Linked DNA regions of Oryctolagus cuniculus. The protein of the gene in region 2 purifies or fractionates together with the protein of the main gene of each other region. This does not show direct contact. Links are inferred from orthologs where the notes say so. Each region holds a gene or a part of one and is shown on either strand. Other genes may lie near its edges.

What was found.
Region 1: the proteins of SLC39A4 (region 2) and MGAT1 purify together in Homo sapiens (affinity purification with mass spectrometry; 3 studies listed by BioGRID and IntAct, with this or other methods). This does not show direct contact. The link is inferred for Oryctolagus cuniculus from reciprocal best matches to the Homo sapiens genes SLC39A4 and MGAT1.
Region 3: the proteins of SLC39A4 (region 2) and LETMD1 purify together in Homo sapiens (affinity purification with mass spectrometry; 3 studies listed by BioGRID and IntAct, counting the BioPlex papers as one, with this or other methods). This does not show direct contact. The link is inferred for Oryctolagus cuniculus from reciprocal best matches to the Homo sapiens genes SLC39A4 and LETMD1.
Region 4: the proteins of SLC39A4 (region 2) and VPS45 purify together in Homo sapiens (affinity purification with mass spectrometry; 3 studies listed by BioGRID and IntAct, counting the BioPlex papers as one, with this or other methods). This does not show direct contact. The link is inferred for Oryctolagus cuniculus from reciprocal best matches to the Homo sapiens genes SLC39A4 and VPS45.
Region 5: the proteins of SLC39A4 (region 2) and AGPAT4 purify together in Homo sapiens (affinity purification with mass spectrometry; 3 studies listed by BioGRID and IntAct, with this or other methods). This does not show direct contact. The link is inferred for Oryctolagus cuniculus from reciprocal best matches to the Homo sapiens genes SLC39A4 and AGPAT4.
Region 6: the proteins of SLC39A4 (region 2) and LEMD2 purify together in Homo sapiens (affinity purification with mass spectrometry; 3 studies listed by BioGRID and IntAct, counting the BioPlex papers as one, with this or other methods). This does not show direct contact. The link is inferred for Oryctolagus cuniculus from reciprocal best matches to the Homo sapiens genes SLC39A4 and LEMD2.
Region 7: the proteins of SLC39A4 (region 2) and GOLM1 purify together in Homo sapiens (affinity purification with mass spectrometry; 3 studies listed by BioGRID and IntAct, counting the BioPlex papers as one, with this or other methods). This does not show direct contact. The link is inferred for Oryctolagus cuniculus from reciprocal best matches to the Homo sapiens genes SLC39A4 and GOLM1.

The regions. Positions count from the first base shown.
Region 1 is NC_091445.1:34,438,062-34,442,129, forward strand, and holds MGAT1 (alpha-1,3-mannosyl-glycoprotein 2-beta-N-acetylglucosaminyltransferase), read right to left. Parts: upstream 2,801-4,068; 5' UTR 2,761-2,800; coding exon 1,417-2,760; 3' UTR 350-1,416; downstream 1-349. UniProt on the Homo sapiens protein: Initiates complex N-linked carbohydrate formation. Essential for the conversion of high-mannose to hybrid and complex N-glycans.
Region 2 is NC_091437.1:168,134,529-168,138,602, forward strand, and holds the start of SLC39A4 (zinc transporter ZIP4), read right to left. Parts: upstream 2,801-4,074; 5' UTR 2,281-2,800; coding exon 1,930-2,280; intron 1,597-1,929; coding exon 1,324-1,596; intron 1,045-1,323; coding exon 849-1,044; intron 773-848; coding exon 645-772; intron 562-644; coding exon 390-561; intron 270-389; coding exon 97-269; intron 15-96; coding exon 1-14. UniProt on the Homo sapiens protein: Selective transporter that mediates the uptake of Zn(2+). Plays an essential role for dietary zinc uptake from small intestine. The Zn(2+) uniporter activity is regulated by zinc availability.
Region 3 is NC_091442.1:54,530,880-54,534,968, reverse strand, and holds the start of LETMD1 (LETM1 domain-containing protein 1), read right to left. Parts: upstream 2,801-4,089; 5' UTR 2,765-2,800; coding exon 2,652-2,764; exon of another isoform or gene 2,606-2,651; intron 2,564-2,605; exon of another isoform or gene 2,516-2,563; coding exon of another isoform or gene 2,499-2,515; intron 2,084-2,498; coding exon 1,932-2,083; intron 1-1,931. UniProt on the Homo sapiens protein: Plays an essential role for mitochondrial structure and function, as well as thermogenesis of brown adipocytes.
Region 4 is NC_091438.1:47,877,321-47,880,820, forward strand, and holds part of VPS45 (vacuolar protein sorting-associated protein 45), read right to left. Parts: intron 3,297-3,500; coding exon 3,186-3,296; intron 627-3,185; coding exon 492-626; intron 92-491; coding exon 1-91. UniProt on the Homo sapiens protein: May play a role in vesicle-mediated protein trafficking from the Golgi stack through the trans-Golgi network.
Region 5 is NC_091436.1:7,536,589-7,539,141, reverse strand, and holds the end of AGPAT4 (1-acyl-sn-glycerol-3-phosphate acyltransferase delta), read right to left. Parts: intron 1,739-2,553; coding exon 1,540-1,738; intron 740-1,539; coding exon 645-739; 3' UTR 501-644; downstream 1-500. UniProt on the Homo sapiens protein: Converts 1-acyl-sn-glycerol-3-phosphate (lysophosphatidic acid or LPA) into 1,2-diacyl-sn-glycerol-3-phosphate (phosphatidic acid or PA) by incorporating an acyl moiety at the sn-2 position of the glycerol backbone.
Region 6 is NC_091436.1:135,444,715-135,448,826, forward strand, and holds the start of LEMD2 (LEM domain-containing protein 2), read left to right. Parts: upstream 1-1,312; 5' UTR 1,313-1,359; coding exon 1,360-2,089; intron 2,090-3,450; coding exon 3,451-3,491; intron 3,492-4,112. UniProt on the Homo sapiens protein: Nuclear lamina-associated inner nuclear membrane protein that is involved in nuclear structure organization, maintenance of nuclear envelope (NE) integrity and NE reformation after mitosis.
Region 7 is NC_091432.1:144,419,183-144,422,682, reverse strand, and holds part of GOLM1 (Golgi membrane protein 1), read right to left. Parts: intron 2,583-3,500; coding exon 2,403-2,582; intron 1-2,402.

The DNA.
Region 1 (4,068 bases), on a different chromosome or scaffold from region 2:
TCAGCATGAAGCATCTACTCTGAGGGAGGAGCTGAGTTTAAAAAAACGGGTTGTCTCCCAGACCAGGCCCACTGAGCTCCCTAGAAGCAGGAAGGGATTCACCATGACACTGAGGGTTTCACAGCTAAGATGTACAGATTACCAGTAGGAGTGGAGCTTCAGGGAACCCCCCAACACTCCACCATCAATCCATCCCAGTCCTCTCTTCAACTGTTCCATGGTTTTTCTCCCTCCTTTCTCTTCCAGTCACTTGCTTTCCTTCCTTCAACTTACCCTCTTCTTCGCTTTTTTCCTTTCTTTCAGCACCCTTTACCTCCTTTTCCAGGATATATAAACACAGGCACAAATATTTTTCAGACAATTCAGCCTTTATTTTTGAAAATAATTCTGTAGCTTCCACTTTTCATCCATGAAACTGAGGTCAGGCAAGAAAACACACACACACACACACACACACACAAATTCCTCTCCAACCAACATCTGCATCCTAGCCTGTGAGGACATGGGAATGTTTTGGAGAAGGTAGGCAGGACTTAGCTCATGGCCGGAGTTGTCCTGGTCTTGGCCACTGTAACTTATGTCAGGAGGGCCACCAGAAGCCACAGCCTTAGGGAGGAGCCTGTGTATAAAACTCAGGGAAGAAGGATCACACAGAACTGACCAGCACAGCATTCTCCTGAAGCAACAGGGAGGGGACTAATTTTTAGAAAGGAAGAGGTCAAGAGTGTCTCTTTGAAGTGGTACAATGAAGTTTTTTTCCCACTACCTTTCTCCCAATAGCTGGGTGCGAATATTTCTTTTCCTCTTCATTTTTCATCTTAGAACCAAAAATTGCTAGGCTGCAAAGAAAGAAGAGCTGACAGAAGTCAGGAATAAGGAAAGAAGAACAGAAGGCATTAACTCTGACAACCCAATAACTGCACCTAGACTCTGACAATGAGGCCCCTCTGGTTAGTATTATTCTGGCCACAATATGTTCACTTCTCCTGTAGCCCAGACCCTTATTAGGGGAAGGTAAAAAGGAGCATGAACAAGAAGTCTCATGCCCTGGCTCTCAGGTCAGAAAGAAAAGGCCTGGTTAAGAAAGCTAAAGTTGCCAACTCCTCTGCAGATGACCTAAGAGAAAAACTCAGAACATGGATATTTCTGGCCCCAAAAAGCCCATTCTTCCCCTATCACACAGTGGTTTGCTGCTTGATACCCAACAGACAGCAGAATGCTTTCCCTGATCTAACTCCTTTAACAAAAGAACCCTCACCTTGTCATCTGTGTATTCAAATGCCACTCAAAAAAGAAAAAAAAAAAAAATGGACCCAAGAGGGAAAGACAGAAAAGACAATGCAGCCCAGGGACTACGGTCCCATCTTAGATCATGAAATTGCAAGGAAGGAGCCCAGAAGGGACAGGCAGGAGCTGTTAAGTCCAACTAGGATCATAGCCATCCCAAGTCTGAGGGGGCGCCAGGTGGACACGGCGGCCCCGGAATAAGAAGGTGACAATGCCCCGGTATCCAGCCCTGGGTACACCTGATTTGAGGTCATCCATGACACCCAGGGCCTTGGCGAAAGCCTTGAAGCTGTCCCTGCCTGTGTACTGTACGCGCACCTCTCCTAGCTCCTTCCGGTCATTGGTCCTCACTTTCTCCACCTGTAACTGGGGAGCACCATAAACACGAGCAAGGAAATCCCGGTCATAGGCCTCCTGCTGAAGGTACGACAGGTCCAGCTGGGTGAAGGGTACAAACTGCTGGTTCAGCTTGATGAACTTGAGATGCTGGTCAAAGAACTGCCCATGGCTCACACCCTTCCGGCCAAATGTCATTGTTCTTGAGATTTCTGGACGCACACAGGCCCTCCCCTTTCGCTGCTCAGGCCGGCGCATCCAGTCATCCCAGAAGGCTTTGGGCCACTTGGGCTCCAGTTCAGCCCAGAGTTCAGCCAACAGTAACCAGCCTAAGCCAGGAAAGAAATCTGTGCGGTAGAGTAACTCTGGCTTACTCGAGTCTACCATCTGTTCTTTGCCATTGTCATTCCAGGCAGACACACACCAGAGGGAGGGGTCTGCTTTCAACAGTGGGTAAGTGGCCTGGAAGTACTCAAAGAAGTCTGGTGCCACCTCGAGATCATCTTCCACCACCACAGCTGCTGGGTAGTTGAAATTGTGGAAGATTTGGCCCAATGCCCAGCGGTAATGCCGTGCGATCTTGTAGTAGCCCTGGAACTTGCGGTGGTCGGGCTGCACAGCAATGTTGCTCAGGTCAGGTTGCCGGATGTGTGTGACTGCGCTGCCATAGGAAGCAATGACCTGGGCTGTCTCCTCATGCCCACAGTCCTGGCTGACAATGATGGGGAACAGCTCAGCTGAAGGCCGATAATGCAGTAGCTTGTCCAAACAGCGGCGGACGGTGCTGCGGTCACAGGCAATTACCAGGATGGGGATCACAGCTGGCGGTGGGGTCACAGGCACATGCGGCTGAGCAGGAGGGGCTGCAGTAGGCACCTTCCACCGCTGGCTCCAAAGAGCATGGTGCTCCCTAATCTGCTGCAACAGTCCCCGCTGACGTTCCAACTCTACCTCGGCATCCTGAGCTAAGCGGATCACCTCACGGGTGAGGCTGGCAGGGTCATCATCGAGAGCATTGTCTGACGGCAGCCTGCTAGGCACTGGACGTGTCCAGAAGAAGAGGAGCAGCAGGGCATTCCAGGCCACAAAGAGGATAGCACCCCACAGCACAAGCCCAGCAGACTGCTTCTTCAGCATCCTGGCCCCCACAGGGGAGGGCAGGCAAAGGTATGACTTGAGGCTGCCGTTGGCTTACCTGGTGCACTCTCCCACAATTCTAGAGATGCTTCCTCTATGCTACAGGATCAGAAAGCAGCCATACACCTAGAGAGGAGAGAAAGATAAAAACAACATTCACCAAAAAGGAATGAGGCCCCATACCCATATGGAGTAAAGGAATGTTAGCAGTAGGAAACAGGTAAAAACATGAGGGAAAGGGAAAGTAGGAGGCTGACTTAGAGATCTCATAAAGAAAAGCTACCTTTTCCCTTATTAAGACAGTCAACCTGCACTGGAAAATAGGATTAGGAAGATACTCTGCTCCACCAACCCAAAATGAGCTGATGAGTCTCAGAAAAGCAATTGAGGTTTGAGGGAAAGTAGAGGATGATGTTGGTGGAAGGAAAATATAAAAGAACTCTAGCTCCCCTTTTCCCTTTTATTTCCTATCTTCCATCTGGAGTTTAGGGAGAGGAATACGGGGTGAGATAATCTGCCTCCCATTCATCAAATCAATCTGCCCTAAAATTACTGATTTGAAAAAAAAACCTTAGGACTAAAGTCAGCACCTTACCTAATAAGAAAGCACAAGGCATTCCCATGAATGTCAGGAGCAAATCCAAGCTGCGCAAGATCTCCAAGGGTATTTAATACTGTGTTGGAGGTATCGGCCAATGCAACTGAACTACAGAAAACAATTAAAGATAGAAATGAAAAAGAAGCAAAACTATATCCAATTGCTGATACTAAAAATACACCTAGAGGACTCTAGAAGAATCCATGATAGACCTACACCAAAGAACTGAGAAAGGCAAAAAAATTTGCATACAAAAATCAGTCCTCATATCCACAAATAACTAGAAGAAATAATGGATAAGATAAACCTGCATGCCAAAGCTATGAAAATGATAAAACATTTAGAAATAAGCTTAACAACATTTAAAACTTACATGAACTAAGCTACATATTCTGAAAGACACAAGGATTTGAACACCCTTTGTTCTTGGTTAGGACATCTAAACATCATCAAAAATATCAATAAAAATACTTTTTCATGGAGCTACCAAAACTGACAATGAAAAATGAAACACATAAGAACGACTAGGAAAATAAATGAAATAATGAGCTATGAAGAGAGACTATCCCTGTCATGTATTAAAATATCACATTTACAAAGCCTCCATAACTAAAACTATGGTGCAGGTACATAAACAAACAGATCATCCAATGGGATAAAATTTAACTCCAGAAATAGATCCTCCATACATGGAAATCTAGTGTATGATA
Region 2 (4,074 bases):
TGCAGGCCCAGCACCTGGGGAGCAGGGGGCGCTGGGCTGGGAGAGAGGCTGGGGCGGCGTCCCGGGGTGGGGGCGCGGGGGTGGGGGCGGGCAGACCTTGGGCGTCAGGTGCAGGAGGGCGTCGCCGGTGAGCGCGCCCACGGCCAAGCTCAGGAAGGTCTGCAGCACGTAGTGGGTGGCCACGCTGCAGTGGGTGCAGCTCAGCAGCAGGAGGCCGAAGACCGCACACAGGCAGATGATCAGGGTGGCCAGGGAGCCGTACAGGTACTCTGGGGAGCAGGGCCGCGTGAGGGGGCGCGCATGGCTGGCCCCTCACCCCTGCCCCTCCTCTGGGACAACCGGCACCCTGGGGCACCCTGGGGCACGGCGGCGGCCGGGCGGGCACTCACGCTCGCTCTGGCTGAGCTGGTCCTTGGTGGAGGTGGTGGTCTGGGGGCTGCAGGCCCCGCTCAGCTGCTGCTGGAGCAGGGCAGGGCTCAGCTGGGCCCAGCCCTCCGGGCTCACCCCTTCCTGCTCCGACAGCCCGTACACGGCCATCACGTCCCTGGCACTCAGGCACGCCTGCGGGGTGGGGGGAGACAGCGATCAGGGCCTTAGCATCCCCGTGGGTGCCCATCTGCCCCCCGGGGCCCCAGGCCACTCACCACGTCCCACTCGTGGGAGCTGCTGTTGAGGGCACCAGGCTCCTGGGGGCCGGCCGCCCTGCCCAGACTCCTGTGGTCACTGTGGGCCTCAGCACCCAGCCCCAGCGTGTGCATCAGCGTCTCCAGCTCTGGCAGGGAGGCCAGAGTCAGCGCCGGCCGCCGGCTCCGGCCCCGCCTCGCCCTCCCGAGGGACCCGGGTCTCACCGGCCAGGGTGAGGTTGGGCGCCTCGCCACTGTGGTGCTGGAACACAAACTCCACGAAGTACTGGGGGTCCGGCATGGCGCGGAAGCAGGACCCGCTCCTGGCGTGGTCCAGCAGGGCGGCCAGGGCCGCGCCAGGGCTGCCGGGGGCCCCTGCCCCCACCGCCTCCTCCAGCAGCTGAGGGACACCCGTGCAGGCCTGGGGGAGGAGATGGCCTCAGCCTCCCCCGGCGCCTGGGCTGGCCGCCTGCCCTGGCACCCCGGGTCTCCCCCACCAGCCCCTCCCTTGGCGTCCGCTCCTGTGAGCCCTCTCCTCCCAGGAGCTGCCAGTGAACACCACCTTGGACCCCAGCCCCCCGCCACCTCCCCGGCGTGCCCCAGGTGCCCTGTGTGGCCACAGCCAGGACCCCCAGGCGGCCCCTCCACTGGCCGTCGGCCCTTCTCATCCATTCTGTACCAGGCCTGCCCATGCCCTGACCTCCTCCCCAGTGGCCTGGCGGTCAATGGGGTCCTCGATCCTCCGCAGCAGCCGGCTCAGGCCCGCGGTCAGGGCCCCGGGGCCCTCGAGCTGGGCCAGGAGTCCATCGGCGCGGGCGGCCCAGCGGCCAGCCCGGATGTCGGCACAGGTGCCCTCCGGGTTGCTCAGGAAGAGGGCGGCTGCTGCGCTGAGGCGGGCGATGTGCCGGGACTCCAGGGCCCGCCCCGGTGCCTCGGGCTCGCCCAGGGCCAGGGCATCCTCCACAGACGGGCACTGTGGGCAGAGGGTGGGCAGGGGCCAGGCCGGGCTGTGGGTCTGTGTGCAAGGAGCTGCAGCACCCCCTCAGGGCACACAGTGGTCCCCACCCCGGGAGTCCACACCGCATGGCCGTCTTAGGCCGGCGGATTGTTGTGTGCACACAGGGCGTCCCTGGCTGGGCTCCCCGTCTCCAGCTTTCCCCAGGAGCCACCACCAGTTTGATGGCCCCTGGATTCCTGGGCGCCCGAGGCCCGCCTCCTGGAGTTTGCCCGGGCCCTCTGCTGCGGCACACAGGGTGGAGCAGGCGGGAAGGGGCTGGGGCCGGGGGCCGTCGGGTGGGGCAGTTACCTTTCCACACGGCCCGCCGCAGTGCACACGGGCCGCTAGCGTATTTAACAAGCCGCCCAGCGCCTCCCGGTCCAGAGCGCCCTGGCTGGAGGTGAGTAGGTTCAGCAGACGGGGGTGCTGGGCCGCCGAGGCCACCGCCACCAGCAGGGCCAGGAGCAGCCCCGGCCGGAGGCAGGCCGGGGACGCCGGGACCGCCATCGTCGGCCTGCTGCTCAGCGCCTTCTGGAGGCTGTGGGTGTCTGGGTCACTGGGGCTGCCTGGGGCCAGGCTGGGGCTGGGCCTTGGGAGACCTCTCCCAGGTATTGGCTGCAGGGCTCTGTGATTGGCTGCTGGAGGCGCCGGATTAGCCATTCCAGTAGCAGGTCCTCCCTGGGGCTGCCGTGGAGCCTCAGATGTGTCTGGTGAGACCGGGTCTCTTCCCTGCAGGTGGGTGGCCTTGGCACCTGCTCCCCCACCTGCCACCCCCAGAGGCAGCTGGTGGGGCCACCCCTCTGCTCCCCAAGGGAGTTGCCTTGGGACCCCGGCGGCTGGCCCCAAGCTGGGGTCCTGGGACGGAGGTGGTAGATGCCACGCGATCACACGCGGCCCCAGGCCCCTTGCTTCACCCCCTTCCTACTGCCCCCAGCGCTGGTGGCCTAGGAAGCCCCTGTGCCCTCAGGAGCCCCCGTTAGGATGGGCGTGGGGAAGCCTCTCCCTAGGTGCTGGGCTGGGGTCTCCCGGGCAAATGCTGCCTGCTGAGTCATGCTCCCCCGCCCAAGTCTCCAGGAACCAGCCAGAGACCCAGCACAAACAGGAAGGGGAGCCGGGGACCTTGGCCTGGCCGCTCTCTGGTTGGGAGCACCTGGGTCAGGAGGTCAGGGCCGGTCCTGAGCTCCAGGCCCAGGGAGGGTTCCCAGCCCTGCCCCTCCGGGCCAGCTTCCTGGCCTTTGAACCCCTCAGCCTTATCTCTGCCTGCTGGGCTCAAAGCACTGCTGGGCCCTCCCTCTGGTGTCCCACCAAGCTCTGACCCTGAGCCCTGCCTTTGGCGTGTGGCTGGGTGGGGAGCTGTAGCCTGAGGCTGGAGGACTCTGCCCCTGCTCTCCACCCAGGTCAGGTGCTTCTCCCCTCTGCCCCATCCACACATGCTGAAGCCTGATGCCCTCAGGCCAAGGACACCTCTGTGACCTCTGAGCCCCAAGGATCTGGGAGGCAACTAGTGACTTGGAGGCACTGGGACTGTAGAATCAGAATCAAAATGGAGTGAGCGTGGCTAAAAGCTAACTGTAGATCTCTTGCTTCTGTACATATTAGCTTTGCTTGCTAACGACTAAGGGTGTCTCTTGTGAAGCCGGTGGGGGCCGGTGCCGTGGCGCAATAGGTTAATCCTCCGCCTGCGGCGCCGGCATCCCGTGTGGGTGTCGGCTTTCGTCCCGGTTGCTCCTCTTCCAGGCCAGCTCTCTGCTGTGACCCGGGAGTGCAGTGGAGGATGGCCCAAGTGCTTGGGCCCTGCACCCACATGGGAGACCAGGAGAAGCACCTGGCTCCTGGCTTCGGATAGGCGCAGTTCCAGCCGTTGCGGCCATTTGGGGAGTGAACCAATGGATGGAAGACCTTTATCTCTGTCTCTCTCACTGTCAAGTAAATAAATAAAATCCTTTAAGCCGGCGCCGCGGCTCACTAGGCTAATCCTCCGCCTAGCGGCGCCGGCACACCGGGTTCTAGTCCCGGTCGGGGCGCCGGATTCTGTCCCGGTTGCCCCTCTTCCAGGCCAGCCCTCTGCTGTGGCCAGGGAGTGCAGTGGAGGATGGCCCAAGTGCTTGGGCCCTGCACCCCATGGGAGACCAGGAGAAGCACCTGGCTCCTGGCTCCTGCCATCGGATCAGCGCGGTGCGCTGGCCGCAGTGCGCCGGCCGCAGTGCGCCAGCCGCGGCGGCCATTGGAGGGTGAACCAACGGCAAAGGAAGACCTTTCTCTCTGTCTCTCTCTCTCACTGTCCACTCTGCCTGTCAAAAAAAAAAAAATCCTTTAAAAGAAAGAGACTATGTGGGCCCAAATTTCCAGGAACTAGGTTGAAATGTGCCCTCACTGTTACCTTACAACCGTATCTTGGATCTGTTATTGGGTTTGTCATTGTTAGCTGTTATCTTACAGCCATATTCTGGCTTT
Region 3 (4,089 bases), on a different chromosome or scaffold from region 2:
AGTGTGACGTTATCCCAGTTTGAATCTTATCAGAGCTTCCTACCCTATGTTCACTCACACACACACACTCACATGCACACACTCACACACACGTTCAGCCTCCCCAACATTACACTGCATAAACGCTTTAATGGAGGTAACCCAGAACTCTTATGAGGCCAACCCGGCCTTTTTCCCCTAGCACAACACCTCTCTTCAAGCTAAGTTGGGACTCATTATTCATCCTGTCTTTCAAAATCAAGCTCACTTGACTTCAGAGAGTCTTGCTCGATTAGCCCTAGAGATCACCCAGCCAGACATTAACTTACCTACTTTCTTGGAACACTTTTATAAATAATATAATCCAATATATTTTTATAATTCTATGTTAAGGCTTCGTACTATAGAAATTCCTACCTTTACCAAAGACTAGCTTTTTTTTTTTTTTTTTTTTTTTTTTTTTTTTGACAGGCAGAGTGGATAGTGAAAGAGAGACAGAGAGAAAGGTCTTCCCTCTTGCCGTTGGTTTACCCTCCAATGGCCGCCATGGTTGGCGTGCTGCGGCTGGCGCACCGCGCTGATCCGATGGCAGGAGCCAGGTACTTATCCTGGTCTCCCATGGGGTGCAGGGCCCAAGCACTTTGGCCATCCTCCACTGCCTTCCCGGGCCACAGCAGAGAGCTGGCCTGGAAGAGGGGCAACCGGGACAGAATCCGGTGCCCCGACCGGGACTAGAACCCGGTGTGCCGGTGCCGCTAGGTGGAGGATTAGCCTATTGAGCCGCGTTGCCGGCCAAGACTAGCTTTTTTAAAAGTCTTGTCATAGTATATTTACAATTTAAGTGATATCCAGATTGACTTCAAAAATGAAGGAGAAAGCTAGCATTTAAATGAGGTAAGAATGACTGTCTTAAGTTAATAATGTTGAAGTGAGGTTGAGTACATGGAAGTTCATTACATTATTTTAATTTTGCATATGTATGTTTACAAGTTTTCAATTAGAGGTTTTAAAACAAACCAAAATGCTTTCAAACCTTTCTCTTATTAAGTCCTAGTTATAAGCCTAAGGGCAGACAAAACAGCCAATTCTATCTCTCTAGATAAGAATAAATAATTGTAAAATTAGAATAATTTTCCAAGGTGACTAGTGTGGTACTTTATCATAATTGGCATTATCATAAAAGCACACACTATAACAACTAACACTTAATGGGAACTTACTTAGTACCTTTCACATATCAGAGTATGTCAAAAAGTGCATGGAAAAAATGGAATTAAAAGATGTTTGGTTTGGTACAAAGATTATGATACCCAAGTATAGTTTTCTCATAATACACATTTTCTATGAAATGTCTGGAGACTCCTGGCAGTGACTTATTTAACGATCACAACCATGTAGTCAATAGGGTCTATTCTTATTTTTAACAGATTTTGAGAAAACCAAGGGACACAGAGGTTAGGGAACGAACCCAATCACACAGCCAGCAAGTGACAAGCTGAGATTTGATGCGGGACCCTGACTATGGAGTAGACAGGGCACTGCTTATATGGTGTCCTAGGATGTAGATGTCTGAACCACAACATTCAGAACCCAATTAGTACTGTTTAGTACAACATGCTACCTAAGATAGATTTGGGACCTGCATTTAGACTTCCCCTTTGAATGGGCCAGGTCAGCTGATAAAAACAGGGCGATCAACTATAGCCAGGTGTGTGGTTACCCACAAGAAACCTACTTTCTCTTCCCTCTCCTGTGTTGTCAGAAGCTGTTTCTCATCCCATCTTTCCAGAAACATCCTCACATTCTAATTTATAAGAATCAGGCCTCTATGAAACAGAAGACATCCTAGCTCACATCCTCAGGGCACAACTTGCAAAACAATCTCATTTATTTCCTTTGCCGACGCGGCCCAAGAGCTGACTCAAGGACTTCTACTGTAGTTCTGTGTTTACCTTTCATGAAGATTGTATACAGGACATAGAAGCGGGGGAAATGACGGCCCAAGAAACGATGGTATTTTCCATTAATCGCTTTTGTCTTGGTCACCACATAAGAGATCAAACTCTTCACATCTGCCTTTGGAGAAAAGTGAAGCTTGCAAGACCTACAAGGAAGATCAAGAGAGACTATCTGGGAACCAGTCCAAGAAGCCCCCCACCCCCAGCCCCGCACAACCTGGGGGTCCCTAACATACAACTCAAGCCTCAGAGAACGTATGCCAAGACCTGAAGCTCCTGAAATCAAGGAAGAAATCTTGGGGCCTAGGGATACAGACTATAGGGCGGAGGACAGGCAGGAAAGAAAGAGAGGCAGTGAAACGGAGCCGGAAAGACTGCAAAGCTTCTGCGACAATCTGAACCACGGGGAAGGCTTAGAGAGAGAGGTGGAATCAACACAGTAGCTATTAAACTTGAGCCGAAAACGGGGCTGAGAGATGGATTCGGAACACTCAGGGCGGACGCGTAGACCAGACAACACGGAGCACTGAAAGCTGATAGTCAGGAAGTCAGGTCTCTAACCCGATCGGGGTGCGCATCTTGAGAATAATAATAAAAAAAATATCCCGGGGCCAGGGCGGGGAACCCTGAAAATGAAGACAGCATGCAAGTAAGGTGGAGCCACTTGCAAGGGCCTGGACGTCAACAACGCTTTTCTCTCTCCAGGTCCCTCACCGAGGGGCCACCCAAGAGTGACCAAGCTGCAGCCTCCGGCTGACAAAAGGTCCACGGGTGACAGCCGAACTCCAGAGAGCAGCTCGAGCCCAGCACACCCTGGAGAGCGCCATCTTCACCGCGAGGGCGGGGCGAAGGGGCGGGGCGGACGAGTGGGTGTCTGCGGATCAAAGGTCACTGACGACGCATGCGCCTCACCTGGGCGCTGATTCGGTAGCCGCGGCGCGAAGTACGGAAGAAGGGCCAGGATTGGACGCAGCGTTACTTCCGGGTTTAAAGGCGCCGGAAGAGGTCTTTCCCCGAGGGAGTGAGGGCTTGTGTCAGTAGTGGGGGTTTGTGAACTTCAGGACGCCTTCTCCTTGAGAGGCCTAGTGACTTCACGATTCCCTGGGGTCTCAGAGCTTTCTGGCGCCTCCCTCCCTTAACCTCTGCCTAGACTCGAGGCGTTGAGGGCTTGACCGGTTCCCGATGTCAATTTGGCAGCGCCTCCGGCCACGTCGCCCCCTGGCGGCTGGGAGGACCCGCGGCGCTCTCTGAAGGTGGCGGCCTAATTAATTGGCCGGGAACTGTCCATTTTCGTCCGGGTGGCTGCAAAGAGTCAGCAACGTGGGAGCGGCCTCCTTGCTAAGTACGCTTTTCTTTTTCTTTCTTTTCGTGGAATTCCGGAATGGGCCTGTGGAAAAGTATCTTTCGTTAGGCGCCTACTGAAGACCAAGCTTGGTGTCAAATGCTAATTTTTCTGACCCGCCGTTCTGAAGTAGTACCCACAAACAGGACGCATATATGTATTTTTTTCTCGTATCACCCTTGTATTTTCTTTATGCATTCGTTTCCCTGTTTGACCAGCTTCCTGAACAAGACAGCAAGCACCTCTTGCCTGGGTCACTTCGGTACTCCCAACACTAGGTGCCATACTTGGCACGGACCAGAGCATTTAAAAAAAAAACATCGTGGAAAACTGGAATTAGGAGATGTGTATTTGGAGAGTGTGTTTGGAAATCCATGCATAGTCGCTCATCATGCACATTTTCCATAGACTTTTTCAAGATTCCCTTAAATGCATGAATTTCAAAATACCGTGCCCAGAAGAAACTATCTTTGGATTCTGTTTTCCACAAATGAAGCACCCTCGTAGTTAGTGCTCAGTAAACATTTCTGAGTAAATTAATACTTGAAGCTGGGGAGGATTTGCAGAAGTGGCACTTAAGGTGCTCCCAAGAGTTCACGTTTCTCTTGGGTCCGTGTGACTGTTTAACCTCTGTGGAGGGGGGGAGGTGGAAAGAACATTCCATTTGGAACCACGGAGTCTGAGCACCCGCCGTTTGCTTTCTTGTGTGCGACCTTGGACGTGTTAGTCTAGCTCTGAGTTTGTTCCCCGGGAAGTGGCACCCGCCTTAGGAGTTCTGTGATGAGCAAAGAACACGATGGAGGAAAGCCT
Region 4 (3,500 bases), on a different chromosome or scaffold from region 2:
GTTTTTGCTGTTCTTTTGGTTTCTTCTTCTGAAAGTCTTCCATGAGATTCTTTATATTACTACCGATTTCAGCAAAGTTTAGGTACATATTCTGTGAAAAACAAAGTTGGAAGCATAGTTCATCAACTAGCCAGTGACTTTCAGAAAATTTAAAAGAAGTGAAAAATAATCCCGAATACAGAATTGAAGGGCAGGAAAATTCCATTCTAATTACCAAATTTGGACATTAGCCAGGACACTGGTGATGAATATCATTACTATTCTCACAAAGAGCTAGTAGAAGGGACAGAAGTAAGTAACTGTGTGATCTCTACAAAAAACATATTGTTAAAGGTCAGAATCCAAGTCTTCTGCCTTCCCTTGAGACACAGCCTATTTATAGGAAGTCTCCACCATCCTTTCACTTGAAATCGCATTCCTGCCCCTATTCTAATAAGCCAATATTGGTCTTCTTACATAAAAACAATTCAAAAAATTTAAAAACCACCTACATTAGCGTAGAATTCATCATTTTCAGCGGACAGCACGACCTCTCTTAAGTCTTTACTGATTCCTGGCACTCTGGAAAGGTCAATCCGATTGTTGTTTATTCCTAGCAGCTCATGGACCATGGCCTGATATGTCCACTAAATATAGAAGTATGGCAAGAAAAAAAAAAGGTAACTGACAAAACATGGAAATAGTACACGTTCAGGAAAACAAATGAAAATTGATAACATTTTTAGTAACTAGTCTGCTTTACATGGAGATTCTCTAGTTCAAATTTTTAATACTTGGTGCTATAATAAACATTAAGATTCTCATTTTAACTGGTTAAACACTCAAAAGTCAAGATACTTTTAGATTTCACGCTTTTGGAAGAAGGACAGAAGGATTAATATTCTTGATAGAAAGAAAACAAATTAGATCTATCATTAGTTCAACTCTTTGCCCGTGAATGAAGAGTATATTTTCGGCTTCACAGATAGGGCTATATTGGTACTGCAGTTACAAGCTGTACCATTTCCTGTGCGCGTCTGTGGTTTTCTGCAGCATGAGAAGTGTGTTCTTGCAGATCTGAGTGGTGCTATATTTATCCTGGGAACACTAATATTATCAGAAAAACCTTGTGAGTTGATCAAAATACTGGCATGTTCAGAACCTTGCCTCTGAATTCATTTTGTTTTACGCTCTTAACCTAATATGAATTGTGAGGAAAGATTGATTTCCCATGTTACAAAATGGAAAGCAGAAATCCCCAAATTTTACCTTTTTACCATTTATGGAGAATGAATTGCTCTCAGTCATAGGTCCCTTATATAAAACTATAGTATTTTCCAACAAATTACCTAATAAATATAGAACCTAAGTGCTGAAAGTATTTATATACATCTATTTTATCTTAAGAAAACTAGGCTTATTTAGAAAAAATTAAAAGTGTCATAAAAGAGGGTACTTTCCTAGATTTGCCAAACGAATACCCACAAAAGCAATTTCATTAGGGCACTTAAAAGAAATGCAGCAAGATGCTATGTGCTTCTATGGACAGCATCCTATGCATGCTTCCACCATAGCTCTTATTGGATAATTAAAATTATTTGTTCACTTCTCTCCTCATTGGACCATGAGCTCTCTGAGAGTAGGGATTGTATCTTTTAACCTTTAATCTCCAGTACTTAGTTCAATATGTGGCATATAACAGGTCCTCATTGAAATCTGTTGAATGAATAGTTGCTTTTCTTTGGGAGATGGAATTTTTAGGCAATTATTTTTCTTTCTGCTTTTTTATATAATAAAAAGTTTATTTGGGGGTTGACACTGTGGCGTAGTATGTTAAGCTTATGCCTGTGGTGCCAGCACCCCACATGGGTGCTGCTTCAAGTCCCAGCTGCTCCACTTCCAATCCAGCTCCCTGTTGATGGCCTGGGAAAGCAGTGAAAGAAGGCCCAAGGACTCAGGCTCTTGCACCCACATGGGAAACCCAGATGAAGCTCCTGGCTTCTGGCTTTGGATCAACCCAGCTCTGGCCATTGAGGCCATCTGGGGAGTGAACCAATGGATGGAAGACTTCTGTCTCTGTGTCTCTCCTTCTCTCTGTCTGTAACTCTGCCTCTCAAATAAATAAAGAAATCTTAAAAAAATATTTCTTTAGTGAACATATTTTTCTTTGAATTTTAGGAATACAGGGCTATCTTCTATTAGAGAGAAGTTTCATTGCACAGCCACAGATTTTCCTTTGCAGTAATATTATTATAGTATAAGCTAGAAAGAAACTGAAATATAGACTGCTTTTTTTTTTCTATAAATTCAGCTACTATTAATAGAGCACCTAAAATGTGCAAGGCAGTGTGCTTACACTTACAAAACACACTATGAAGCCTTGAAGAATGGACAACTAGGAGAGGGTGAAAGTAACCAAAGGTATGAGTCCAATATGGCAGGTGTAGCAAGAGACCTAAGAGCAATACAAAGTTCTACAGTGATTTTAGGGAGAAAAGAATGTGTCTAACTGAAAGAATACAGTCTTCAAGGAGATATTAGGTGGCTTTTGAGTGGTTTTAAGGGAGAAATACTCTGATAGGTGAAGGGGAGAAGAGAAGGTATTTCAAACATTCCAGAGTTCAGGTAGCAGGCACAGGAAGTCATGTGGCATATCCACACAGCAACAAGCCATAGGTTTTATGTGTGGTGATGCCCTGGGATGCCAGGTCCAGGAGGTTTTTAACTTGGTAGGCAAATGAGAACCAATGAAGATTTTTAAGCCCAGAGTAGCAGGACTGGAGCTGTGCTTTAGGAAAAGAAAATTAACAAGAATGTATCTGTGGATAAATTAGAATAAGAAGAAATTAAAGTAGGGAATCAACTAGATAACTCTTTCAATATTCCTACAAGACCTTAGAGTCTGCACAAGGCAATGGCAGTAAGAATGGAAAAGGACAGAAAGAGGAACAGAATTGAGAGGCTGTCTTGATTCAGAGTGGGGGGAGTAGCAGCAGAGGACAGGAAGGATGAAGCAGAAGAAAGAGTTCACAATTATTATGGCTGGAAGAATAGTGATACCACAGCATCAAGGAAATACAAGACCAAAACACTAAGAGCAAGAAATAGGAGGCAAATAAATAGACCACACTATTTATCTCCATATCTCTATTTTGAGGAATATCACAAAAATCAACCTTCTATTAAGCTGACAAAGGATTCTGCACCTGATTTAGCAATGGGGTGATGGCATCATCACAGCGATCTAAAATAAGTAGCAACGGAGGAACCTCTGTCCGCCGGAATTCAAACAGCTCGTATTCTTTAGTTATCACTTGCTGTGGTGAAAGAGAAAAATGGTTTGGTAAACCAATTAGCTGCACATGGAGATGACACAAATAAGAGATCAATAAATAAAAACCACACTTAACAACAGTTCTTTGCACCCACATGGGCCTTCCATAAAAGGATTCAAAAGCTTCACAAAGTTTAGTACCATTCCATTTAAGAAGTTAAGATTTTAAACCTTAGTTTACAGGCAG
Region 5 (2,553 bases), on a different chromosome or scaffold from region 2:
CCCAGTCCTGGTGGCTGCCGCCGCAGTGTTTTATAAAGCAGCCCTGGCTGTGCTGTGACTGCAGGGGGCGCCAGTGGGTGTAAGGCCTCACGTGTCGCCACACGACGCCCATGATTCTTGTGCTTCACCGTCAGTTTCTTTAGGGATTTGGGCCTGAGCGTGGGAACTCAGTGGTCAGCCTCCCAGCACCTGTCCCCGTGTCCCCAGACACCAGCCCTCACCCCTGGGCAGCTCCTCCTGCAAGAGCACCGACCACAAGGCGGAGGTGGGATGGAGAACGGAGGGGGCGTCCGTGTAGACATGGGGGCCAGGACTCTGCGTGATTGGGTGTTCTTACTAAAGCCCCTTTCACTGTCTGGCCATCAAGGGTTACAGAACACTGCACCGGAGGGTGAGAGGGACACCCCTTCCCTCCCCCCATCAGACGGGCCTCACCCTCCAGCTCGCGCCCATCCACTCACCCACGCCCACACCAAGAAGAAAAGCCAGCACCCACTGAATGGTGAGGAAAAGGGTTTAAGAGCATCTCCTCCCCGTGCGGCGCCGCCAGCCGCCTCCCTGCCGGGGAGCCCGCGGCCTGCAGGGAGCCCGAGCCGCGGCCACCAGTTCCCCAAGGTTCCCTTAGGCACACACTGCGGCCCAAGTCAGTCATTCTGTTTCTGCCTGCTGTCCACGTTGCCGTAGGCGGAGCCCTTGTCGATTTCCGTCACGCCAATCATCCATCGGACGCCCATGGAAGCTGCAGAGGTGGGAAGAGCAGGGTGAGGACAGTCCGAGAGCCCCGGAAGCCGGCTGGCTGCAGGTAGCCCGCATCAGCGGAGCGCCGATGGGTCCCGGGTGCTGGCTCGTGACCCCAGCTTGACAGTCACCCCAGGCCTGGACATCTACGTGGGCCTGGGTTCCAGCACCGCTCGGGGGCAGCCGCTCCTGATGGCAGGGCCCACGTGAAGCTGGAATGCAGGAACTCCAGCTCAGAGGTTGCAGAGGAAGGCCCTCCCTCCCGGGAGGCAGACTTGGGGCACTCTCCCGGGGCCAAGACCACGCCTCCACGTGCGAGCACCGGACCCAGGGCTGACGGGAACGGATACGCCTGGACTCCGGTGCACGAGCCTGGGGGTCTGCAAGCTGCCTGTGCAGCCGCCACGTGGGTCATTTACAAAGGGGCGGCTTCTGCTCGGGGCCGGCTCTCGGGGGACCCGACTCAGAAGGCCCCTGCTGCACTATCAGCCATGGAAATGAGACTTGGAGGGTGCAGGAGCAAGAGCAGTGTGCACACTGCCGTGCGAGGCCTGGGAGGGGGAGCGGCGATGCACCCAGCGCCCAGGCACCACCACTGGGGCCCAGGCTCGAGGCTGAGGAGGCACTGGCCAACGGGGCCAGATCGTGAGACTCCCGCAATCCCTGGGGGGTGGCTTTGGCCAGGGCTCTCGCTGTTACGTGCAAATTGGCTCCAGAAATGCCCCAGTAGCCAGGGGGAGTCCGGCCCAGGGCCCCTCACGGCAGCTGAGGGTGGGTGTCCTTGTCACCGAGCCCACTTACCCACAAAGAAGACGAGGAGGAAGCTGGCCAGTGTCAGGGACGAGCCGCTGCTGACCGTGTTGACCACGAACTGGAAGAAGGGGTAGAGCAGCAGGGAGGCCCAGAAGAGCCAGTTGATGATGGCCCAGGGCCGCCGCGGGGGCACCCGGGGCGTCTCTGGGAAGATGCCGGTCCTGTGGTATTCCTCCTGAAAGGCGTCCTGGGACAGAGAGAGGAGGGGACCCTCAGATGCCAGCAGCGCCCCCGCCACTCCTTCCCCGAGTACCTGCACGGGACGTGTGGAGAGGACAGGAGTGCCCGCCCTCGGAGCTGACGTGGGGCAGGAGTCTGGTCTCTGAGCCCCGGCTCCTGCTCTGTCTAAAGGGGCAGCCATGCCTTCCAGGAGAGGTTGCTGGGAGAAAGGCCCAGGCCAGGCCCTGGAGAACTGGAGGGACCTGACCCATGGTGAGGTGCTCCATCACCCCCTCTTTCCTGCCTCGGGATCTGTGACTGCTATGGCTACCGGGGTGGCCAGAGAGGCGACCAGGTTCATTGTGGCCTCGCTCATGGGAGCAGCTTCTCCGTAGGTCCCCCCAACTTGGAACCAAACAGCTGAACCCCCAGAGCGCTGAGGTCCCCAGGTGGCTGGCAGAAAACCCACTCCAGGCCCAGCATCCGGCTCAGTGCCACGCACAGGCGAGACTGATGTGTCTCTCCCCTAAGTCTCTGATGCAATGGGACCCCCAGTTCAGACACGAAGCGGGGTTCAGCCTCTGGTTGCCCCGGGAGCAGGGCAGGTGACGTGAGGGAGGGAAGCAGGAGGACCCAGGTTGCCGAAGGGGAGCTGGGGGTGGAGACTGGCACCCCAACAGTGCAGGCTCTGAGGCTGAGCCCTAGGGAGCAAGTTGGAGCCACCAGCCACAGGCCACCAATCCAACACCTGTGGGAACATCACGGGGCCAGCAGTGGCCGCACCTGCCGGCACAGCCATCTGTGTGCCACAGAGTCAGCCCCAGCTGGCAACCCTGAACTGGC
Region 6 (4,112 bases), on a different chromosome or scaffold from region 2:
ATATTGAACTGCACAGCTGCGAGGAGTTGCACAAATGTTACCAACTCATTTGTCATGCAAACAGTGCTTCAGAAAGAAATAAAATACTATTATGTGGTGTATGTGCTAGGCAATCACTATATCAAATTCATGGCATTCCGTGCAAACACAGGCAGAGAAAAGGAAAACAACACTTGGTGAGAGAAACCGCACCACATGGGAGCAGCTAAGTCAGGGAAGACGGGGAGCATGACCAAGCCCAGGCTGTAATTTTCCCAGCGATTGGGGCCAGTGTTGAATACCCCTGGGGTAGAGCAAGTGGCAGGAATGCACAACTCTCCTGGGGCGCCTTGCTCGGTCCTCGTCCCGGGAGAGGAGGGACAGGTTGAGGGAAGGGGGGGGTGGGCCTCGGGACTGCTGGGTGAAGCTACCGGGAGGAGGGAGTGTGGGAGCGGGAAACACGCGTGGACCTACTAGGCAGGCAGGGAGCAGTGGGGAGGGGGAGGAGAAGGAAGGCGGTGACGTAGAGTTCCCTTGCTTCCCTTAGCGGGTGCTAGGAGCCCCTGTGTAAGCAAGTCGCCTGCCCCGCGAGGGGCTCTGCGCGGTGCTGGCCACAGAGGCGTGGGCGAAGCAGGCACCCTGTCCTAAGCACCTTGCACACAGCACCTCTCCCAAGCCTCACAGCCACCTCTGGAGGTTCACTGGCTGCCGGGACAGAGACGCTCGTGGTACAGGACCACACATCCGACAGCTGTGCAGCAGGGGTTTGCAGCCCAGCTGTCGCCTTCGGAGTTGACATCCTAAACCACGAGCGGCGGCAGCCAAGACCGCGCGCGTCTCGTCTCGGGGGTAAAACCCCGAGCGCCGGAGCCCAGGGCCTCCACGCAGCCGGGGCCAGGCTGTGTCCCCGGCGGGCTCGGCACAGGGTTGGCCCAGGACGTCTCGGCGCGGCGCGTGCTTGGGTCCCCCCCCCACGACACAGAGGAAACGCAGTCCAAGCACAGAGAGGCGAGTGATCGTGTCTCCCAGTGACTTGTCTCTCACCATTAGGCAATTCATCCATTAAATCAACACTTTATTGAATGCCTACCACTTGCCGTTGACCGCGCTAGGGGCGCAGGAAGCAAAGAAAAACACTGCTGGGTCTAACAAACGGAGAGCGAGGGGGAGGGCGCCGCAAGACGGGAAAAGGGAAGAAAAAAAAAATCCTCCGACCTCCCCAATATGGCCGGCGCACGAGCCAGGCCGACCTCCCCAACATGGCGGCACGCCGACCTTCCCATCATGGCGCGCGGCCCCGCCCGCCCCGCCGCGGCTGCCGGCGCGAGCAGTTCCGGGTGCGGTGCGCGCCGGGGGCGGGCGGGGGGCGGCGTCCTGGCCATGGCCGGCCTGTCGGACCTGGAGCTGCGGCGGGAGCTGCAGGCCCTCGGCTTCCAGCCAGGACCCATCACCGACACCACTCGGGACGTCTACCGCAACAAGCTGCGCCGCCTGCGGGGCGAGGCCCGGCTGCGCGACGAGGAGCGGCTGCGGGAGGAGGCCCGGCCGCGCGGCGAACTGCGGCTGCGGGAGGAGGCCCGACTGCGCGAGGAGGCGTCGCCGCGCGCCCGGCCCGCCGCGGCCTCTCTGCGGGCGGAGCCCTGGCTCTCCTCTCCGGCCTCGGCCTTCACGAACCCCGGGGCCTATGGCGATCTCGGGGCCTCCGCGGCTTCCTGGGCGGGGAGCCGCGGCCTCGCCTTTCCCGCCCGCCCCGCACCGTTCAGGCGCCGGGCCTCGGTCCGGGGCAGCTCTGAGGAGGACGAGGACGCCCGGTCGGCCGACAGGGCCGCGCTGGGCCCGGGCCTCTCGGGCCGCCGCTGGTGGGCCGCGTCCCCGGCGCCGGCGCGGCCGCCCTCCTCTCTCCTCGGCCCCGACCCGCGCCCGGGCCTGCGGGTCACGCGAGCCGGCCTTGCAGGCGCGGCGCGGGCCCGACCCGAGGTGGGGCGGCGGCTGGAGCGCTGCCTGTCTCGGCTCCTGCTCTGGGCCAGCCTGGGGCTGCTGCTCGTCTTCCTGGGCATCCTGTGGGTGAAGATGGGCAAGGCCTCGGCGCCGCAGGAGGCGGAGGACAACAGTACGTCCCGGGCCGGCGCAGGGGAGGGCCTCTGACTCTCCTCTCCCCTCCAGACCTGCGCCTTCCTCCTTCCCCGCACCTGCAATCGTGCCTGCCTTGGCTGTCTCCTGTTTTCCTTTTCTGCCCTGGCCTTGCCTCCTAACACGGCCCTCTCAGCCACGTGCTGGGGAGCAGGTTGAGGTTTTGCCCCAGCCTCTGGCTTTCCCTCTCTTAACAGGCCCACCCCCACCTCTTTCTGCTTATGTCTCCTGCGTTGCTCTCCTGCTCACCCACACACTTGAGGGCACCCTCTACATCACTAGCCCCACTGGTCGGGTCTGGTTGAGGTCCCAGCTTTGCAGTACCAGAAAGGCCACCAGTTCACTTCTCTGGACCACAGGCCTTCGTTTGTCAAAGGGGTTCCTCCTAGCTCCGTGCCTGAGACAGGCACTGGGGGAGCTTTTAAGAGTTCAGGCTGATGGCAATGGGAGGTGTTGGCGTAGCTTGCGGCGCCCTCGTGCAGTGAGGGGTCTGTCGGATGCAGTGGGTCTCCCAGCAGCTGGGGGCTTGCATTGCCTAAATGGGAAATTTGAAGAGGAAACAACACAGGGGTCATTTAATTCTAAATCTAGGTATAGAGGGACACTCTGGTGCAAAGCAGGAGTACGATTCACACTGCTCCCAGCCTCGGGCCAAGGCCACATCTTTCCATGCCTAGTGGGAGCAGGTGAAATACGGGGGGAGGCTAAATTGTGTCTCTGCTGTGTGGCAGGGGGATGCTGGGGGCATGTACCGTCTGTGGGCATGGGGACCGCAGACTTAATGCAGGTGCCCAAGGGATTGCGGTCTGTCACCTCTGTGACTCGGCGTGTCCACCTGCAGGAGAAGTGGGGCACGCCCCCAGTGGCGTTCGGGCCCGGGTGGAGGTGGAGGTGCTTTAACACGTCAGCGCTGGGTTAAATGCTGAGATTTGCCTGCCGCTCGCCCCAGGGATGGTGGCGTCCTTGTCAAACACCGCACTTTGTGGACGGTTTACAAAGCTGCCCCATGCTTGTGTTGTGTTGTTGGAGACCACGTCCCTGAAGATAAGCGGAGCAGGCCCATCTGGTCCCATTTGAGAGGTTCAGAGCGTGTGTGTGTTGCCCAGGGACCTGTGGCTGGCGGTTTGCAGCTGAGCGGAGGGCCCGGCTGTCCCGATTCCTAGCCCAGGACGGGGAGACCCTCACACTTCGCCGTGTGCAGTGCAGAGTGCCCCCTTAGCTGGCTGCCAGCCCCGTGTTTGTGTCCCTGTTGGCCTCGCCCTGCGTTTTTCGCCAGTGGTCTCCGTGGTCTTCCCCCCAACCCACACTTTTAATTTCCTCTGTTTCTTTTCTGGGTCTCAGTGAAGTTGTTGCCAGTGGACTGTGAGAGGAACTCGGATGAGGTGAGTGTGGGCTGCCCGGGCTTTCATTCTTCCTCCCCAGGCTGTCGGCCTCCACCAGGAGGGAAACTTCTGCAGAAGAGGATTGTAATAGGCTCATTTTCGGGGAGTGCGTCCTGTAATGTGCCAGAATCACATGGTGTTCTGATGTTTGTGTCAGACTCAATTGTGACAGTGAGGGAGCGCTTGAAACAGAACTGAGCTCCCAGGATCCTACCCTGGGCTTGTCGCAGACGCTTTCCCATCAGGCATAGCGCCGGGGGCTTTGATGTGCCCGAGTCGATCTAGGGGATGCGGTGGGTTGTTGTCGGGGGCCTCCGCAGCTCCCAGGCCTTGTCAAGCCTCAGGAGGCCAGGTTCTCCGCTCCGCACGCTGGGCCTGGCCGTGTTTGTCTGTGGCTCTGGAGTTGCTGCTCTGCTGGGGAGCACGGGGGGGGGGGGGGGGGTGTTTGCAACACATGTCCTGGGAAGTGGAGTCGGCCCGGGGCCCGCGTGCGGATTTGTTTTCTGAAGCTCTAATGTTCTCTACAAATAATATCGGGGGAAGCCAGCGGCCCCATCCCTCCGTGAATATGACGGCAGCACCTGCCCGGGGCTGGGACGCCGGGAAGATACGAGGCGGCCA
Region 7 (3,500 bases), on a different chromosome or scaffold from region 2:
CATTTACATGTAAATGGTTACAATTCACTAAAATTCAGTCCCTTGGCCCCAGCAACCCTAGTGGTGAGTGCCACTGTGCTGCAGAGAACATTTCTAGCAGAGAACAAGACAAAGGCACATTAGGAAGGACATGGAAGATGGGAGTCGGGAGGCCATCCCAGGTCCAGGTCTCATCCTGGCGACCACTGCTCCCTGAGCGCCACCTGTCACGCCTGTAAAATGGCCGCAGCCTCCTAAGGGGGTTGAAAGGGACCCGGAAGGGGTGCCTGTGAGTGTCAGCCCGAGAGACTCAGCAGAGGCTGACTCTCAGGGTCTGGGAAGAGATGGCGCACCATCTTCCCAGACTCTGAGAACCTGGGAGCCTGTGACATTTGCACAGGAAGTTGCAAATCCCAGGAGGAATTCTCTCAAACTCAATTCTTTGAAAATAAACTCTACTTCTTCTCCCCAATAGTGTTTATTTTTTTTAAGAGATGCTGTGTGTACTTACACGGTGAGAAATGCCCAGGTCCTATGACATTCAGTGGAAGAGGACTTCGCAAACACAAATAGTGTCCCCCAGGGAGGAAAAATACAGGACTCTGTTCTAACATTAAAATCAGAACAATGCCCGAGGAAGAAGTATGAGTTTGTGAATATGGCAGAGGATTCTACAGATAAAGAAAAGTGCATTTACAATCTGTCCAGAGCGCCTGAGGCCAGCGAAATGCTGGACACCAGCTCCTACTAACGCCAAGTCCACATCTGACCCACTGGATGTCGGTGAATCAACCAGCCCAGAGAGAGAGGTGCGTGCACCACAGGGCAGCCTGAGAAGGGACCCAAAACAAGCTCCAATCTCAGTGCCTGCGTCTGAGTCCCAACTTCAGGTCCTGACTCCAGCCTCCTGCTAACGCCCACCCTGGGGGGCAGCAGATGATGGCTGACGGACTTGGGTCCCAGCCACCCACAGGAGACCTGCAGCCAATTCCTAGCTCCCAGCTTTGGCCTGGCCCAGTGCCAGCCGATCCAGGCTTTGGGAGAGTAAACAAGCAAACAGGATCTCTCTCTCTCTCTCTCCCCCAAATGAAAAGCCTACTCTCTTGAGCCTCTATTTTGTGAGTAGCACATAGAAGCTTGCAACTCTTGCCCTTCGTGAAGGCACGGATGCTTCCTCTGGGAGTCCAGCACCTAGCACAGGCCCAGCCCAGAGCAGGTGTTTAACATATGTGTGTAGAAAGGAAGCCAACAGGGGATCGATCTGTTAAGGGCCTAAGCAAGTCCACGCCAAGTTCCAGTCCCCACAGAGATTAGAATTTAAAGCAGAGGGGGCCCACATTGTGGCAGAGCCGGTAAGGCGCCGCCTGAGACGCCAGCATCCCCGGTGGGCACTGGTTCGAGTCCCGGCTGCTCCACTTCTGATCCAGCTCTCTGCTGTGGCCTGGGAAAGCAGCTGAAGATGGTCCAAGTGCTTGGGCCCCTGCACCCACACAGAAGACCTGGGTGAAGCTCCTGGCTCTGGCCTGGCCCAGCCCCAGCCCCAGCCGCCACCTGGGGAGTGAACCAACAGGTCCAAGATCTCTGTCTCTCCCTCTCTGGCTAACTCTTTCCAGTCAATCAAACCAACTAGCTTGATCAAGATGAGCTTTGAATACAAGGAATTTAAAGCAGAGGAATAAGCGTAGTGCTCAAGTGAGAGCAGGATTTATCTGAGAGTGACTATACACACTCGCCTGCATGCGGGCCTCTCCCCAAGGAGACATCCCAGTCATGAGTGGGCCACACAGCTGCCTAGGACTAGAGCATGGGAGGCGGCCGGAACGGACCCAAAACAAGAGCCAAAATGCACACGGGGCGTCTCAGCCCCTTCGATAAGGTACAAGATGTTGCCCTAATTGAATCCACACACAGAGCGGTGTTTGGTGGGAAGATCGAGTGTCATGGCGCCTCCCCATGGAACGTAACTTCCTTTTCCGGAGGAGAGGTGCCATCCCCTTCCGGGTCCTGGACAATACAGGTGCATCATGGGAAAGTGACCGCGACCACTGCGATCCCGGGGCCTCGAGAGGTGCCTCCCCCTTCCGGTCCTGGATGAGACAGGTGCATCATGGGAAAGTGGGCGTGGCCGTGACCAGTCCCACCCAGGAGAGGTGCCTCCCCCTTCCGCGTCCTGGATGAGACAGGTGCATCATGGGTAAGTGGGCGTGACCATGACCAGTCCCACCCAGGAGAGGTGCCTCCCCCTTCCGCATCCTGGATGAGACAGGTGCATCATGGGTAAGTGGGCGTGACTTGGAGGGCCCCACCCACAAGCCATGGATGGCCAGGGTTGGAGGCAGAGTGAGACCCACGCACCACGTTAGGAGAGCCACGACCACCGCCCAGGGCGCGCCGCGGCCGGAGCAGGGGCGCCCGGGTCTTGCCTTTTCGTCTTGGCACATCTTGTTGACGCTCTCCAGCTGGAAGCTGTGGCTGGACTGGATCTTGTCCAGCTGTCCCCGCTGCCTCTCCAGCTCCCCCTGGAACTCGTTCTTCTTCAGCTCCACGGCGCCTCTCTCGGCGGCCGCTCGGCGGACCCGGCCCTCCAGCTCCACGATCCGCGTCTGCGGGGAGAGCACAGCGTGAGAGCTGGCGGGGTGCCACGCGCGGGAACCCCGCCGAGCCCGGGGCCCCCGCCACGTCACGACCAGGGCCCAGCCCAGGCCGGTGCCATGCCCCAGACCCCCACCACGCCAAGCCACCCCACCCAAGACCCCCGCCACGCCACCCGGGGCCAGGGCCCGCCACAGGCCAGTGCCATGCACGCCACTGGGCACTGACTCCTCTTCTCCTGCTCCTTAATCGGACCCGATTTCTGAACGCGGGTCCCACGCTCCACTCCGGACACGGAGGGGCCCAGGGGCTCCGGCGGCAGCCAGGGACGGTGTCCGTGGCCGAGGGCGTAGGACAGACAAGACCCCCGGCGTCAGCCCGCTGGCTGTCAGCCTGCCCACCTGTGAGCTGAGTACAGCTCAAGCCAGCTCTTAGGGGTTGTGTACAAGTGCGCAAAGCAGGAAGCTGGACACGAGCTGATCACGCATCTCTCGGCCCTAGTTTCAATCTATAAAAAACCTTTACCCCTAATTCCCTAGGGATTACGCAATCGCTCCTTGCTTCCTCCTTTGTAACACACATCTACTTTCTTCCACCACCCCAATGGCAGTGGCTGGTTTTCTGCACCACGTGGGGCAAATGAACCCGGTTGCGGGGGGAGGGCGGTTTACAGCAATACCTCCAACTAGGCTAGGCTGTTGGCTCAAAGCGCTGTTTAAGAAAAATTATTCCGGGGATGGGGCTGTAGTGCAGCACGTTAAGCTGCCACCTGTGACGCCCTGCAACACGAGCATCCCGGAGCAGAGCGCTGGTTAGAGACCTGGCTGCTTCACTTGCGATCCAGCTGCCTGCGAATGTCCCCCGCGCGCGCACACACACACACACACACACACACACACGGGAAACCCTGCCCGGCCCCGCCCCAGCTG